Oryctolagus cuniculus: one gene and its partner. The protein of the gene in region 2 interacts with the protein of the main gene of each other region in a pairwise test. Links are inferred from orthologs where the notes say so. Each region holds a gene or a part of one and is shown on either strand. Other genes may lie near its edges.

Evidence for each region.
Region 1: the proteins of MAPK7 (region 2) and UBE2C interact in binary tests that used the Homo sapiens proteins (3 or more experiments, as listed by UniProt). The two-hybrid records come from large-scale screens. The link is inferred for Oryctolagus cuniculus from reciprocal best matches to the Homo sapiens genes MAPK7 and UBE2C.

The regions. Positions count from the first base shown.
Region 1 is NC_091442.1:13,574,760-13,582,010, forward strand, and holds UBE2C (ubiquitin-conjugating enzyme E2 C), read right to left. Parts: upstream 4,813-7,251; 5' UTR 4,732-4,812; coding exon 4,631-4,731; intron 4,159-4,630; coding exon 4,131-4,158; intron 3,670-4,130; coding exon 3,583-3,669; intron 1,995-3,582; coding exon 1,790-1,994; intron 1,704-1,789; coding exon 1,644-1,703; intron 1,378-1,643; coding exon 1,319-1,377; 3' UTR 1,132-1,318; downstream 1-1,131. Other genes in the region: DNTTIP1 (deoxynucleotidyltransferase terminal-interacting protein 1), read right to left, coding at 6,285-6,423, 6,530-6,585. UniProt on the Homo sapiens protein: Accepts ubiquitin from the E1 complex and catalyzes its covalent attachment to other proteins. In vitro catalyzes 'Lys-11'- and 'Lys-48'-linked polyubiquitination.
Region 2 is NC_091448.1:61,504,814-61,512,104, forward strand, and holds the start of MAPK7 (mitogen-activated protein kinase 7), read left to right. Parts: upstream 1-3,351; 5' UTR 3,352-4,877; coding exon 4,878-5,096; intron 5,097-5,165; exon of another isoform or gene 5,166-5,327; intron 5,328-5,625; coding exon 5,626-5,863; intron 5,864-6,350; coding exon 6,351-6,516; intron 6,517-7,064; coding exon 7,065-7,291. UniProt on the Homo sapiens protein: Plays a role in various cellular processes such as proliferation, differentiation and cell survival. The upstream activator of MAPK7 is the MAPK kinase MAP2K5.

The sequences.
Region 1 (7,251 bases), on a different chromosome or scaffold from region 2:
TTGGTCATTGTGGCCATTTGGGGAGTGACTCAGAATATTTAAGACCTCTTTGTCTCTCCCTTTCTCTGTAACACTCTCAAATAAATAATCTACTTGAGGGGCCGGTGCTGTGGCATAGCAGGTAAAGCCACCGCCTATAGTGCTGGCATCCCATATGGGTGCAGGCTCAAGTCCCAGCTGCTCCACATCCAATCTAGCCCTCTGCTGTGGCAAAGCAGTAGAAGATGGCCCAAGTCTTTGGTCCCCTGCATCCGCGTGGGAGACCTAGAAGGAGCTCCAGGCTGGCATAGCTCTGGCCATTGCGACCATCTGGTGAGTGAACCAGTGGATGGAAGACCTCTCTCTCTCCCCCTCTCTGTAACTCTGCTTTTCAAATAATTTTTTTTTAAATCTATTTGAAAGGAAGGCAGGTGTTATGTCTCATCTGCTCAAGGCCCAGAGTGGACTTGTACGCCCACGAGATGGAGAAGCTCCGAGCAGAGCGGTTCAGGCACAATGACACACTCAAGTTCCAACCCCAGACCTGACAGCTCCAATTCTTTACACGTGACTGGAGGTGGGGGCTGCCGGCTGTGTCCCCCCCAGGCCTGGGTGCTGAGTGGAGGCCGGGCAGTGCAGGAATGCACCTGGGTAGCTTGTTTACCTCAGAGATCTTCCTGTAGGCCCAGGCAGGGCCCATCATCCCAGCCTGCTTTCCTCCCTGCAGTTCTGCACAGGTGTCTCCTCCAGGGGTCCCAGGGCCAGGGCAGGAGGTGATGTCTCCCCTTGGAGTGCGGAGCCATCCCTGGGGAACTGGGCCTGGTGTAGAGCAAGGGGCTTTCCCTTGCTGCCTCCGCAGACCCTGGCCCTGCTCTGGCTAACTGGAGCCTTCTCTGTTGGAAGTGGGTGGGTGGTCCTCCCCTCCAGCACGCATAGCTGGGGCAGCTCCAGTACCTACTAGCATTCCTGGGGCTTGTAGTCGCTCCTTCACAGAGAAACCAAGGCCACAGGGGAACAAGCCACTGCTTGGCCTTACAGCCTGTCACCTGCTTCCACCGCTGAAGAGGGGAACAGGCCAATTGCCCAGATGTGAGACCACCCACCGTGCCTGCCCCGAGCACCCCCAACCCAGGGTAACCGCGAGGCAGCAACTTCTACAAAAACAACCAAAATGTGTTTATTTAATATATATCACAAGAACTCAAACAGACTTAATTTAAAAAACAAACAAAAATAACACCACAGCTCAAGACACAGTCCAGTAGAGGTCAAGGACAGGACAGATTCTAAGGCAGAACCAGGAAAGGCGACGGCACAGGGAGAGGCTGGGCAGCCCGGGTCAGGGGTCTTGGCTGGAGACCTGCTTTGAGTAGGTTTCTTGCAGGTACTTCTTAAAAGCTGGAAGAGAACGGGCAGGTGGATGATGAGAGATGGGCACGGATGCCTTTCATCAGGGTGGGAGAGGGCAGTCAGGGACGCTAAGGGGAGTGCCAGGGGAGGCTGGTGGCCGCCCCCCTGCTTTTAGGGAGACTGGGGAACAGCACAGGAGACCAAGTCTGGGAGGGGTTAATTTCCCATATCCGCTCCCTCACCCCAGCGAGCAGGAGGTTCTATTAACCCCACACCTGCCCAACCCAGCGTCCTTGGGCAGGGCTGGGACCCACCTGTGGGGTTTTTCCAGAGCTCGGCGGCATGTGTGTTCAAAGGGCTATCGATGTTGGGCTCTGCGGGTGGAGAGAGAGCAGTCAGCGGCGGCCCGGCAGCACCGGCGGCTCCCGGGCGGCACGGAAGGGGTGCGCTCACACGTTACCTCCCAGCAGGCTCTGGATGGACAGCAGGATGGTCCTGACGTCATACAGGGCGGACCACTTGTCCTTGAGGATGTCCAGGCAGATGTTCCCCTGCGTGTCCACGTTGGGGTGGTAGCAGGGCGTGAGGAACTTCACCGTGGGCGCGTTGTAAGGGTAGCCACTGGGGAACTCCAGGGAGAGCTTGTACCTCAGGTCTTCATATACCTGGCATTGAGAGTGGGGGCAAGGGTCCCACGTGAGCGCCCACCTGGGCCTGCACAGCAGACAAAGCACTCAACTGGTCCCTGCTTTCGTCAGGTGGGCCGTCAGTGGCCCCGGGGGCTGAGCTGTGCGCTGGCACCCCCAGGGCTCTGGCCCAATTGCAGTGTCGGGCCGGGGCAGGTGCCGCGGCGCAGCAGGGTTGGACACCCCGAGACACCTGCGCCCCACAGCAGAGCGCCTTTCAAGCTGCGGCTGCTCCCCGCTTCCAGCCCAGCTTCCTGGCCACGCGCCCTTGCTGCCCGCGTGGGAGTGGGGTGCACTTCTGGGCTCCTGCTTTTGACCTGGCCCAGCTCTGGCTTGTTGTAGCCATTGGGGGAGAGAACCAGTGAATCGCAGATTGTCACTCTGTCTTTCAAATACATAAATAGGGGCCGGCACCGTGGCTCACTTGGTTGATCCTCTGCCTGCGGCGCCGGCATCCCATATGGGCACCGGGTTCTAGTCCCGGTTGCTCCTCTGCCAGTCCAGCTCTCTGCTGTGGCCTGGGAGGGCAGTGGAGGATGGCCCAAGTGCTTGGGCCCCTGCACCCACGTCGGAGACCAGGAGGAAGCACCTGGCTCCTGGCCTCAGATCGGCACAGGGCGCCAGCCGTAGCAGCCATTTGGGGGGGTGAACCAACAGAAAGGAAGACCTTTGTCTCTCTTACCATCTAACTCTGTCAAAAAAAAAAATAAATAAATAAACTTAAAAAAAAGTAGGTTAACATGCAAAAAATTGAATTTGAGGGGGCTGGTGCTGTGGTGTAGCAGGTAAAGCTGCCACATGCAGTGCCGGCATCCCATATGGGCGCCGGTTTGAGTCCCGGCTGCTCCACTTTGATCCACCCCTCTGCTGTGGCCTAGGAAAGCTGTGGAAGATGGCCCAAGTCTTTGGGCTCCTGCACCCATATGGAAGACCTGGAAGAAGCTCCTGGCTTCGGATTGGCGCAGCTCCAGCTGTTGCAGCCAATTGGGAAGTAAACCAGCGGATGGAAGACCTCTCTTTCTCTCGCTCTCTCTGTAACTCTCTCAAATATATATTAAAAAAAGATTTATTTATCTGAAGTGTGTGGGGGTTGTCTTCCATTTGCTGGTTCACTCCTCAAATGGCCCCAACAGCCTGGGCTGGGCCAGGCTGAGCACAGGATCCTGGAACTCCATCCGGGTCTCCCATGTGGGTGGCAGGCACCCAAGTACGTGGGCCATCCTCTGGTGTCTCCCAGGTACGAAGTAGCAGGAGGCTGGGCTGGAAGCAGAGTAGCTGGGGCTCAAAGCGACACTGAAGGGATGCCGGTGTCCCATGCAGCAGCTTCTCACAGAGCAGCTGTGCCTGCCCTGCCCTGAGTCTCTGATCTGACTCCATTGACCAAAGTCCTTATTCCACTCATTGCCTTTTTGCCCGAGCCCTCCAGCCATCTAAGACAGGCAGCACCGTTCACACCCAGCCTGCACAGGTGCAGAACAAGGCTCGGGCGACTGTCTTGCCGAGCTGAAGGCTTGACGCAGCCCTGGCACGGGGAGTCACCTCCACCCCCCAGCACCCCGATACTCACGGTGCCGGCTGCCCCGTGGATGGTCCCTATCCACTTGAAGAGGTTGTCTGACTCAGGGAAGGCAGAGATTCCTTTGTCACCAGACATCTGGGCAGGAAGAACACTTGCTGGATTGCAGAGCTCGGAGACCTTCCCCTAATCCCGTCACACTCCCTAGGGACGGGCTTTCCCCAGGTGGCCTCGGGGCTGCCGCAGAGAGGGTGGGGAGGCTGGGCGGGGAGGGGTTATGCAGCCATGTCCGGTGCCCCTCAGGAGTCCAGACAGGCAATGTGGGTGCTCAAGGGTTGGAGAGAAACAGAAAGGCGCACTCCAAGGTTCGGCAGGGCCAGGACGCCACGGGCAGGGGCTGGGTGACTCCAGGATCGGCGTCGGACAGAATCCCGGAAGACAAGGCGAGGTGGGGACAGGGACTTCTTCCCGGAAAACACAGACACCCTCGCCTTCGCCCCCGTGTCAAGTGGGGCTCTGGTGGAGGGGGCAGGCCATGGACAGTTGGGTGGGAGTGAGGAGGGGGCCAGCTGGCTGGGGGTCTGGGCACGGGCACTCACCATGAGCGTCATTAGCTCCTGCTGTAGCCTAGAAAAAGAGCATTCAGGGTCAGCGGGGAGTTCGGGCGGGCGGGGCCCAGGTGATGCACCCCTCCCTCCCTATCTCCCGCGGGAGCCCCAAGGCCAGACCCGGCCACCTGCCCAGGGTGACCCTGGCGAGTCCTCACGCTCCCCAAGCCCAGGCTCCCGCAGCATGAGTCTGGCAGGTGCTCCACGCCGACCGCTGTCCGCCCGGTCCCCACGCTCCCCTCGCCCTTCCCCGGTCGTTAGTCTCCGACAGCTGCCCGAGCTCCAGGTCTCACCCGCTGCAGGAGGCGGGGGATCTCGGAAGTCTCCACCCGGGGCCCCAGAGCCCGTGGCTGCCCGGCCTCGAGTTCCTGGCGCGTCCTGTGGCCCCCGCAAATCCACCCGCTGAGGAAGGGGGTCCTCGGAGTCCGCGCTCCGGGCCCCGATGCCCCGGGCATGCCGGGGCCGCCGAGCGTCATCTCCGCACCACTCACCTCTTGCCCACGGGGCCCCGCGCGGCGCCCCCGCTCGGCTCGGCGCCTTTACGGGCGGCGGCAACGCTGGCGGCGGCTGGATCGCGATTTTGAGAGGCCATTCGGGCAGCACTCGCCAGAGAAGCAGGAACTAGGAGAACACGGCTGCAACTGCAGGCTGCAGGCCCGCCCGCCCGCGTTTGAATTGTAACCCTCGAGCAGCGTCGACCAATCAGAGGCTCGCTTGGGTTTGATCCAGCCAATAGGGCGCGGCGAAGCGCTCTGTCATTGCTAGGCCCACCCACAAGCGTACCGGCATTGGGCGGTGGGGGCGGCTGTTTCTAACGTCCGACTGGCAGGAGAGGCTGCCATTAACTAACGACTCCGCAGCGGATTGGTGACCTTTGGAAAACGCCGACCATTAAAGGGCCGAGCAAGTGCCCACGTGGGACGGAGCCCCCGAGGGCGAACGCCCGGCACGCCCCTCCCGATCCCTTCTGGCCGGCAGGGCGTGTCGGCCGTCCGCCCCGAGCCGGAAGCCTCAGCTCCACGCCCTGACCCGGGGGCCCGGGCCCCTCAGCGGGGCGGGTCTCGGAGGGCCGCCAACTGCAGACTCCCGATTCCCAGAGGAGGAGAGACGGAGTTCTCACTCTCTGGTTCACGCCCCAGATGCCCGGCCCGGCCCGGCCGGGGCTGGGCCAGGAAGAAGCCGGACCCAGGACCTCCACTGGGGTCTCCCACGCAGGTGGCCGGGGTCCCGGCATGTGAGCCGTCGGCCGCTGCCACGTGCGTGCCAGGACGCTGGGACCCGCAGGCGCTCCACTCCACAGGGGCCGCGGCAGGCGGAGGAGCGAGGACCCCCAGGCGCCATGGCCAAGCGCTCCAGGTGCTCCACTCCACAGGGGCCGCGGCCAGGCGGAGGAGCCGGGACCCCCAAGCGCCACGGCCAAGCGCTCCAGGTGCTCCACTCCATAGGGGCCGCGGCAAGCGGAGGAGCCGGGACCCGCAGGCGCTCCACTCCACAGGGGCCGCGGCCAGGCGGAGGAGCCGGACCCGCAGGTGCCACGGCCAAGCGCTCCAGGTGCTCCACTCCACAGGGGCCGCGGCCAGGCGGAGGAGCGAGGACCCCCAGGCGCTCCCCCCACCGGAGGGCCGTGGGCATCCTAGGTGGCGACTGACTCGCAGCGCTGCTACACCGTGGCTTACCACGCCTCTCCACCGAGTAACAGAGCCAACACCTTTTCATACAGTGTGTCGGCGCATCACGAACCCCCACGGGACTAGCACTCACATCCTGCCCCGTCTTTACCTTAGCTGGGCAAACGGGGGCAGGGAAGGATGGCAAGACACGTGCTGTTCCCAGCTCGGCCTGTGAAGGCCGGTCTATGCTGGGACGGCGAGGAGCCCCTGTTCTCTTTCCCACTTGGTGTTCTGTTGGCCCCACACGGCAGACTGCACAGCGGGTTCACCATCAGTGTTGATTAAAAACTTTATTGCTTCTTATCCTAATAACTTTACAAATACAGAACCACATGCCAGGCTGGGGTGCTCTGCAGTGAGCCACTGCAAACGAGCCCAGGCACAGCTTAATGCTGCTGAGGTCCAACCAGGAGCAGTCCCAGCGACGGCCTCAGCCACAGGGGGAGAGGGCCTTGGCGAGCCAGGGGCCCTGGCCTCAGGTCTGCGGGGGGGCTTCGGCGGCGCGATGCTCATTCTCTGTCCGTAGTGTCTCCATGTACTTTCGCATCTTCTCGACCATCCAGGAGGGCAGGACAAAGGATTTTAGCTCCTCCAGCTTCAGGTCCAGGCATCCTCTAGAACATGTTGGGAGGGAAGTTGAAGCAGGCAGGCCCAGCCTCCAATCAGGGGCTGCCCGGAGGCAGTGGGGTGGGAACGGGGCAGGAGACATGCTGGGGTTACCTGTAGTCGTCACTGGCAGCAAGGTCTCGGATGTCTTCTTCAATGAGGAGGTAGGCCTGGGGCAGGAAGGGAGAGTGGTCACTGCCTCCCATTCATTCACTGCAGCTCAACAATACTGCATGAGACATCTGCCTAATGTAGGGGCTGCTACTAAGCGGGGAGGGGGGACAGCTGACAATTTAGTGGGGGACGGTGAGTTGGGAGAGACTGTCTGGTACTGGTTCCCCAGGACAATCATTCAATGAAATAGAAACCTTACAGGTGGGAGAGTAGGGGCTGGTAATGAACTGATTCATGTTTTTTTTTTTTAAAAAAAGAAAGGACCCAAGGTGACTTATAGGAAAATGGCAAGAGCTAGCAAAATACACATGAAAATAGGAAACCGAAAGGAGGAAGCCATATGCTAACTCTGGGGACTAAGGTAACTTTATTCTGAGCTTTGTAGCAAGGAAAAACATGATAAACTGTACTGTCCTGGGCCTGCAGAGCTGCATGGGTGCAAAGCCGTGGTCTGAAGTGGGAGCTTTCCCTAGGGGATACTGTTCATGACATTAGAAAAGTCTTCTGTGGGAGACCCTCATCAAGTCTGAGGAACAATCACACGTTCTTTGAGTCATCTGTGTCCATCTCATGGACGCTGTGAGCTATGTAACAGGTCAGATGTCCCTGAAAGGGTCCTGGAACTGTATTTTGCAAACACCTACAGAAGTACACAGCCTAGG
Region 2 (7,291 bases):
AGGGCAGGGGCAGTGTGGCTGGCAGGGAGTAGGGGCCCAGCCTTGGAGATACCAAAAACCCAGGGAAGGGCGGAGGCCAGGAGCAGGGGCGTGTGGCTGCCATCTCCCGACATTCGTGGCGTCTGTCTCCCTCACAGACTGCGACCTTTCCAGGGACAGAGAGCAGATATGAGTCTGCACCCCCACACCCAGGGTGAGCGTAGGCATTCAGGGGATGTTCCGGGCTGGGCAACTGTCAACCTCAGTGTCTGCTCAGCTTCTGGGCTCTCTCAGGACTACAGCGCGAGGACAGACACCCAGGCACTGGCGGGATGGGCGGCCGACTTCCCCTGCCCAGGTCAGTGGTTGGCCAGGCTGTGCTCAGCGTCAGAACAGGGCTGAGATCACCACGCGGCCCTGGCCTCTGGAAACCAGGGACAGTCACTTCCGGATGCTGCTTCCTGCTGGTCCCTCCGCCCAAACCACATTCAGCTCACAGGGTGGCGTAGTGAAAGCCCCTTTCCCGCTGGGAGACCTGCAAGCGAATACTGCTGCTGAGCAGAGCCAAGGCTGCGTGGGTGTCAGGCCCGGCTCCTGCTGTCCACAGGCCAATGCCCAGCGGCCACACTGCCTTGGTGCCGGGCCCCAGGCCGCAGTCCCTGAGGCCCTTGTGCCATCAGCTTGACCACGCTCGGAGTCTGTGAGCCCCAGCCCACACAGCAGGCCTGTGCCCATCCCCTCCCCGCTCCCCGGTGTGGAAGGCGCTTCCAGCCAGAATCCTCGGGACACGCCGGGGAGAAAGCATCCCTGGGCCACTCTGCAGAGGCAGACAGAGCCCACGAGGAAGCACTGGGGCGGAGGGTGGCTGTGCAGGTGCTGCGTGTCCTGCGGGGGGATGTCTCAGCATCCACGCGCCCCAGTGTGGGCGGCGGTAGCTTGTCACCTGGCTCTGTGTCCCTGGGTGTGCCTCCGCAGCTCTCGGCAGGTTTGTCAGTGTGTGTGTGCTGGGAGTGGGGGAAGAAGGGGTCCTGCAGAGGAGGGCGAGAAGGGCTGGGTGTGTGAACGAGGGGACTCCTGGACACGGAGGTGGCCAGCCTCAGCCCCGACCCCCTTCACGGGGACACGGATGTGTGCCGACTGCCCCGCTGGGAAAGGTGAGGGTGGAAACGTCTGCGGTCACGGGGAGGTAGTGCTGGCAGTGACAGAAGGGCCGGGCCCTGTGCCAGGTGCTCTGTGGATGTGATGTCTCAGCTCCACCCAACAACCCCACGGGCATCTGCACACCCCGCTTCACAGACGAAGAAACCGCCCACGACCTCCATCCTAGGGTCTCGCATGGTCGGTCCCCACCTGCCTCTGGCCCCGTGTCTCTGTGACCCCTCTCCCGCTGTCAGCCTGTTGACCCTGGCCGTGCCGCTCCTCTGCTCGGAGCCTCCCCTGCCTGCCTGGCTGGCTCACACCTGTCCCTGATGTCCTCTTCCCACGTCACTTCCGGAAGCCCTTCCTGACTTCTGAGTGCCCAGCGCAGGCCTCCCGCATCAGGTGGGCTGGGACTGCCCAGTTAGGAGCCCAGCCACAGCAGTCAGCCGAGGACACTGTGGGCTTGCCGGGGCGCAGCAGGAGTCAAACCACACTGTTTCCGAGGCAGCGATGTCAGGAGCGTGGCGTCCCCTGTGTAGCCCCCTCTGCTCCTCTGACTACCCCCACCCCACCCCACCGGCACAGGAGCATGACTGTGCAGGACACTGCTGTTCTTCTCATCGGCCCCTCGGCCGCCCACTGTCCCTACCTCCCAGGCTTCCTTGGGAAAATGGGCCCCATCCACACATGGCCAGAGCAGAGCACAGGTGACTGGGGTTTGGCCAATCAGCACACTCTTCCCCTAGGCTGGGCCTGTCCAATGGGACATGACCTGGAAACGAGGCTAGATGCCCCACGGGCCGGCATGGAGTTCTGCGACACCAACACCCCATATTGGAGACTGGAGCACTGGCTAGAGCCCCGGCTGCTCCAGTTCTGATGCAGCTCCTGGCTAACACACCGGGAGGCAGCAGATGGCCCAGATACCTGGGCCCCTGCCATCCGCGTTGAGACCTGGATGGAGTACCTGGCTCCTGGCTTCAGCCTGGCCCAGCCCTGGCTGTTGTGGCCATTTGGGGATGAGCCAGCAGATGGAAGAGCTCTCTCTCTCTTTCTCCCTCCCTCCCTGCCTGTAACTCTACCTCTCAAATAAATAAATAACATCTTTAAAAAATAAAATGTCCTCTCTTTAGGCTGACACTGGGGCACAGTGGGTAAAGTAGGAACCAACCAGTGGATGGAAGACCTTTCTCTCCATCTCTCTGTAACTCTACCTCTCAGATCCTTAAAAAATTAAAAAGGGAAAAACTTTTTAAAAATAAATCCCATGTGGCCTTGGTATAGATGAAACCTACCTGGGGTGCAGTCATGTCTTGGGCCTGCAGTCACCCTGCACTGACCCCGACTCACCCAGAACAACTTCCGGTCCCGCAAGCCCCATTCGTGGTGAGTGCCCTCCACAGAAGCACTATTTATTCTCGTCTATATTTCACGGTGCTTCCCCACGCTTAGATAGGTTGTGCTACGCAAACACCACCGTTACAAATGCCCACAGGTGTGTGCAGGGCGCAGCAGGTAAGTTCTCACAATGCCAACACCGCCTCCCAGTGTGATTCGCAGAACGCAGCCCTGTCCTGATGGGACCTGGGACTGTCTGAGTCACTTTCCTCTAGTGGCCACCAGGAGGCGGGACCAAGATTTTTCACTTAAACGTTTCTTTACCAAAGTCTCGAACCACAAGAAAATGTGATTCCACCCTTTCCGTTTTTAAACAAGTGGTCAGTTGTGTCAGATGCAACAGAGAGTTCGAGAGGGCAAGGGTCAAAAGGCTGGATTTGACCAGAAAGGGATAACTGATGACTTCTCCAAGACAGAGCCGCTGCTGTGGGAGCAGCAGCACAGTAATTCAGACAAAAAGTAAGAGAATCAGTCTTTTTAACCAGGGGATAGTGAATTGTCTGCAGCGAATAACCTGACTGGATGGAATATTTTTGAAGTATTTAAAGGATACACAGTGCATTAGTCTCTTCTGATATTTTATTCCTGATTCAAATAGGACCACCAGACAGAGTACAGTGGGTCCCTAGAAAATCATGTGTTTCATGTTCCGGCCTCTGTGTGACCTCTGCTTACACTGAGAGCTGACACAGGGCCTCACGCTGCATGGATTTCATCTCTAGAAAGGCCCCTGGGGCCGGCGCTGTGGTTAAGCCGTGGCCTGCAGTGCTGGCATCCCGTATGGACACTGGTTCAAGTCCCAGCTGCTCCACTTCCGATCCAGCTCCCTGCTGAAGCGTCTGGAAAGCAGAAGATGGCACAAGTGCTTGAGCCCCTGCACCTGCGTGCGAGACCTGGAAGAAGCTCCTGGCTCGGCCTGGTCCAGCTCCGGCCATTGCGGCCACAGGGGGAGTGAGCCAGCAGACAGATCTGTCTCTCCCTCTTTCTCTGGTTCTGCCTTTCGAATAAAACAAATAAATCTGTGTAAAAAAAAAAAAATTCCCCTCAAACACTTCCATATCTCAGTAACAGGAAACCCCGTTTCTCAAGAGTACGGTTGGTTGCCTTATTAATGCTCAGTGCAAATCACGTGAGATAATTTGGCTTTGTTATGCTGCCAGGGAAACCAAACAAATTTAGACTTCAACCCCAACTCAGTTGGTTCATACGATCGCTACCTATCTAACTACTAGATATACATATAAAGGTACCGCACGCACTGTGGAAAGCAGAATCAAAAACTTTTTTTAAAAAGAGATTTACTTAGGTGCCTGAAAGGCGTAACTAGAGAGCGGCGAACCGGAGAGAGATCTCACACGTAACGGCTCCCTTCCCAATGGTGGCCACAGCCAGGGCTGTGCCAGGCCGAGCCGGGAACCGGCAACTCCACCCCCGTGTCCGCCGCGGAGGGCAGGGGCCACCTCCCAGGGACCACGCAGCACGGGGGCAGGAAGCCGGATCGGAAGTGGGGCGGCTCGAGCAGGCGCCCCAGCGCGGGCTGCCGGCCGAGGCTGCATTCGTTAAGCCACAACGCTGGCCCTCCCCCCTCAAAAAAGTGTGAAATCCATGCAAAATAAACGACCTTTGAACTCTGCCGAAACGGTCAACCTGGCACTCCGGGACTCCTGACGACCGGGTTCCCTCCCGCTCTCCCCGTCTTCCCATCCGCCGGGCCTGGTGCAGGGCAAACTCGCCCGAATGTCCCAGCTCCACACCGTGGCTCCGCCTGCAGGGCCTTCATTCCTCCACGGAAACAGTCACCGCCGGAGTCTCCACCACAAAGCCGCTTCTTCCTCGCCGCTCTTACCTCCAGCCCTCGCCGCCCTGGCGTCGCAGGGCGGGGCTCGACACTCGACTACGCGAGGAATGGCGTTCCAGTCAGAGTGCTGCCGACTCGCGGACTCCACAGAAGGGCCCGCTGCCTCCTTCCACTCTGTCGCAGCCCGAAACGCCGGAGCCGCGGGACAGAGCCACTGCGGAGGGCAGACGCCGGACCAGCAAACTACCAGCGAGCGCCGGAAGTGTGCGAGAAGACCGGCCGCCGGAAGTCAGCGGCAGCTCCGAGGCCGGACGCTCTAGAATCCCGGAGGACCCAGGTCTCTATGGTTGGACGTGCCTGCTCGCCCTTTCCCGCGAACGATGCTTTCCCAGAGCTCCCAGAACCGAGAAAATGGGGACCCGTTAAGGAAGAGGGGCCCAAGGAGGGGTATTGCGGGAGCCAGTCTCCAAGGTAACAACCCCAGGCCTCTCAGCTCGCCCCGAGTGCCCGGCTGTTCCCCACAATCGCGGGACGAGCCGTGATTGACCGCAGGAGCCGATGGATGGGGACGCGCGCGGGCCGACGTGCAGGGGCGTTGCCTCCTATTCTCGCGGCGCCCGGGGCTGCCGGTGCGCATGCGTGCAGGGGACTGCGCCCGGCGGCCGGCGCACCCCTCCGGAGCGCCGAGCGCCCTCAGGGCGGCGGCTCCCGCCGGCGAGCCGGACCCCGGCGGGCGGAGGTACGGTTTCCTAGGCCGATGCGCCCTGATTGGGCTCAGCAGGTAAAAGGGGTGGGAACCTCCGCAGGGGCCGCTCGCCGATTGGCCGGCGGCGGGAGGGAGCGTGGTCTCGGGAGGCGGGGCGGTGGGGTCCGGGCTGGGCAGCGCGCGGCGCTGAGGAGGTGGCCGCGGGCCTCGGACGGGCGGGAGTGCGGTTCCCGGAGCCCCCTCCTCTAGCCGGGGCCGAGGACGCCGGCGAGCGCTGGGACTTCCAGGATCCCTGAGGAGGCGCCGGTCAGTGAGTGTGGCCCCGAGGAACCCGAGGGCCCCGCCCGCCCTTTCTTCCTGGACTGCGCCGCGCCGCTCCCTCCCCCACCCGCGACCCCGACCCCCACCCGGACCCAGGCCCGGGGCGGCGGCTCCCAGCGTCGGGTGTCTCCAGCGGGCCAGCCGCTCCCATTCGCCAAGTGGCTGGTTTTGGAAACTTGGAAATTTCCCTGGTGCCCCCTCCCCAACCCACAGAAGGGGAAACTGAGACCCCCGGGATGGGGGCTGGGGGTGGGCCCTCTTCATCACCGGCGTCTCCACACAGAGGACCATGGCCGAGCCCCTTAAAGAGGAAGATGGCGAGGATGGCTCTGGGGAGCCCCCCGGGTCGGTGAAGGCTGAACCCGTCCACACCGCCGCCTCGGTCGCCGCCAAGAACCTGGCCCTGCTCAAGGCCCGTTCCTTCGACGTGACCTTCGACGTGGGCGACGAGTACGAGATCATCGAGACGATCGGCAACGGGGCCTACGGGGTGGTGTCATCCGCCCGCCGCCGCCTCACCGGTGCGTCTCCTGGGTCACTGTCCTTGTCAGATTCGGAGTGAGAAACCCTGCCTTAGCCAGCCGGGCTGTGAGGTGTGGTTCCGATCCAGAGATCTCTAGGTGCCCAGGCTCCCAGTGAGGCAGGACTCCTTGCAACTCTGGCCTAGCCGTTTTTTGTTTGGTTTTGTTTTGCCATCCCACCAGGCTGCTGGGCTCTGGGGCCAGAGCCTGGCACCAGGGAGTGGTGGCGGGATGGGCTAGGTCTGGGAGGCTCTCTTGCTAACTGGCTGTGCAGCTTCTCACAGATGACCGCGCCGGGTTCCCTCGTCTGTAACGTTGAGCCGGTAGTACCTACCTCATAGGGTAGCAGCAGTGTGGTTGAAGTGCTTAGTTAGCACCAGGCTCGGTAGCCTGTAGGTGCCCAGTGTGTGGGAGCTGTAGTTGTTTGCATCCTGGAAGTGGCTGCTCTAAGAGACCCTGTGGTGACAGCCTTTGCCCTGCCCCCCAGGCCAGCAGGTAGCCATCAAGAAGATCCCTAATGCTTTCGACGTGGTGACCAATGCCAAACGGACCCTCAGGGAGCTGAAGATCCTCAAACACTTCAAACACGACAACATCATTGCCATCAAGGATATCCTGAGGCCCACGGTGCCCTATGGCGAGTTCAAATCCGTGTAAGCAGCGTGATGGGAGAGGGAGGCACAGTTAGGACTTGTAGCAAGGGCTGGGGCTCCTATCGCTGAAGCTAGGAAAGGCAGCTGGGAAAATTTCCATAATCGCAAGGCCAGTGCTGCCTTAGGGCGTTGCCAGGGCCAGCTGTTACTCCTCAGGAAGAGTAGAGGCCTTACAGTTTCATAGACTCTCAGTGTATAAGCTGGCCAATGTAGAACGTTGATGCTGCTATTGCACCCTCCTACTCCCACAGCAGACATCACTAATTGATCACAGAACCCTTCTCTAGAGAAAACGGGTATGCCTTCACAGTTTTCATCATAGTCCTTCGAGCAGCCCAACAGCAGAGTTAGCCACCAAACTGAACCTTTCGGCCAGCCCTGGTGCAGGCCAGCCCCATCTTGTATGTGGTAAGGAAACTAGGTCTGGAAAGAATCTGGAATTCAGTGCTGTGCCGTCAGGGTCCCAGGGCAAGGCCAGGAGGGCACTGTGAGGATGGTTCTTAGCCCTGGAATACGGAGCCCAGGCCTCTCCCCTGTCCCCCTTCCAGCTACGTGGTCCTAGACCTGATGGAGAGCGACCTGCACCAGATCATCCACTCTTCGCAGCCGCTCACGCTGGAGCACGTGCGCTACTTCCTCTACCAGCTGCTGCGGGGCCTCAAGTACATGCACTCGGCCCAGGTCATCCACCGTGACCTCAAGCCCTCCAACCTGCTGGTGAACGAGAACTGCGAGCTCAAGATCGGGGACTTTGGTATGGCCCGTGGCCTGTGCA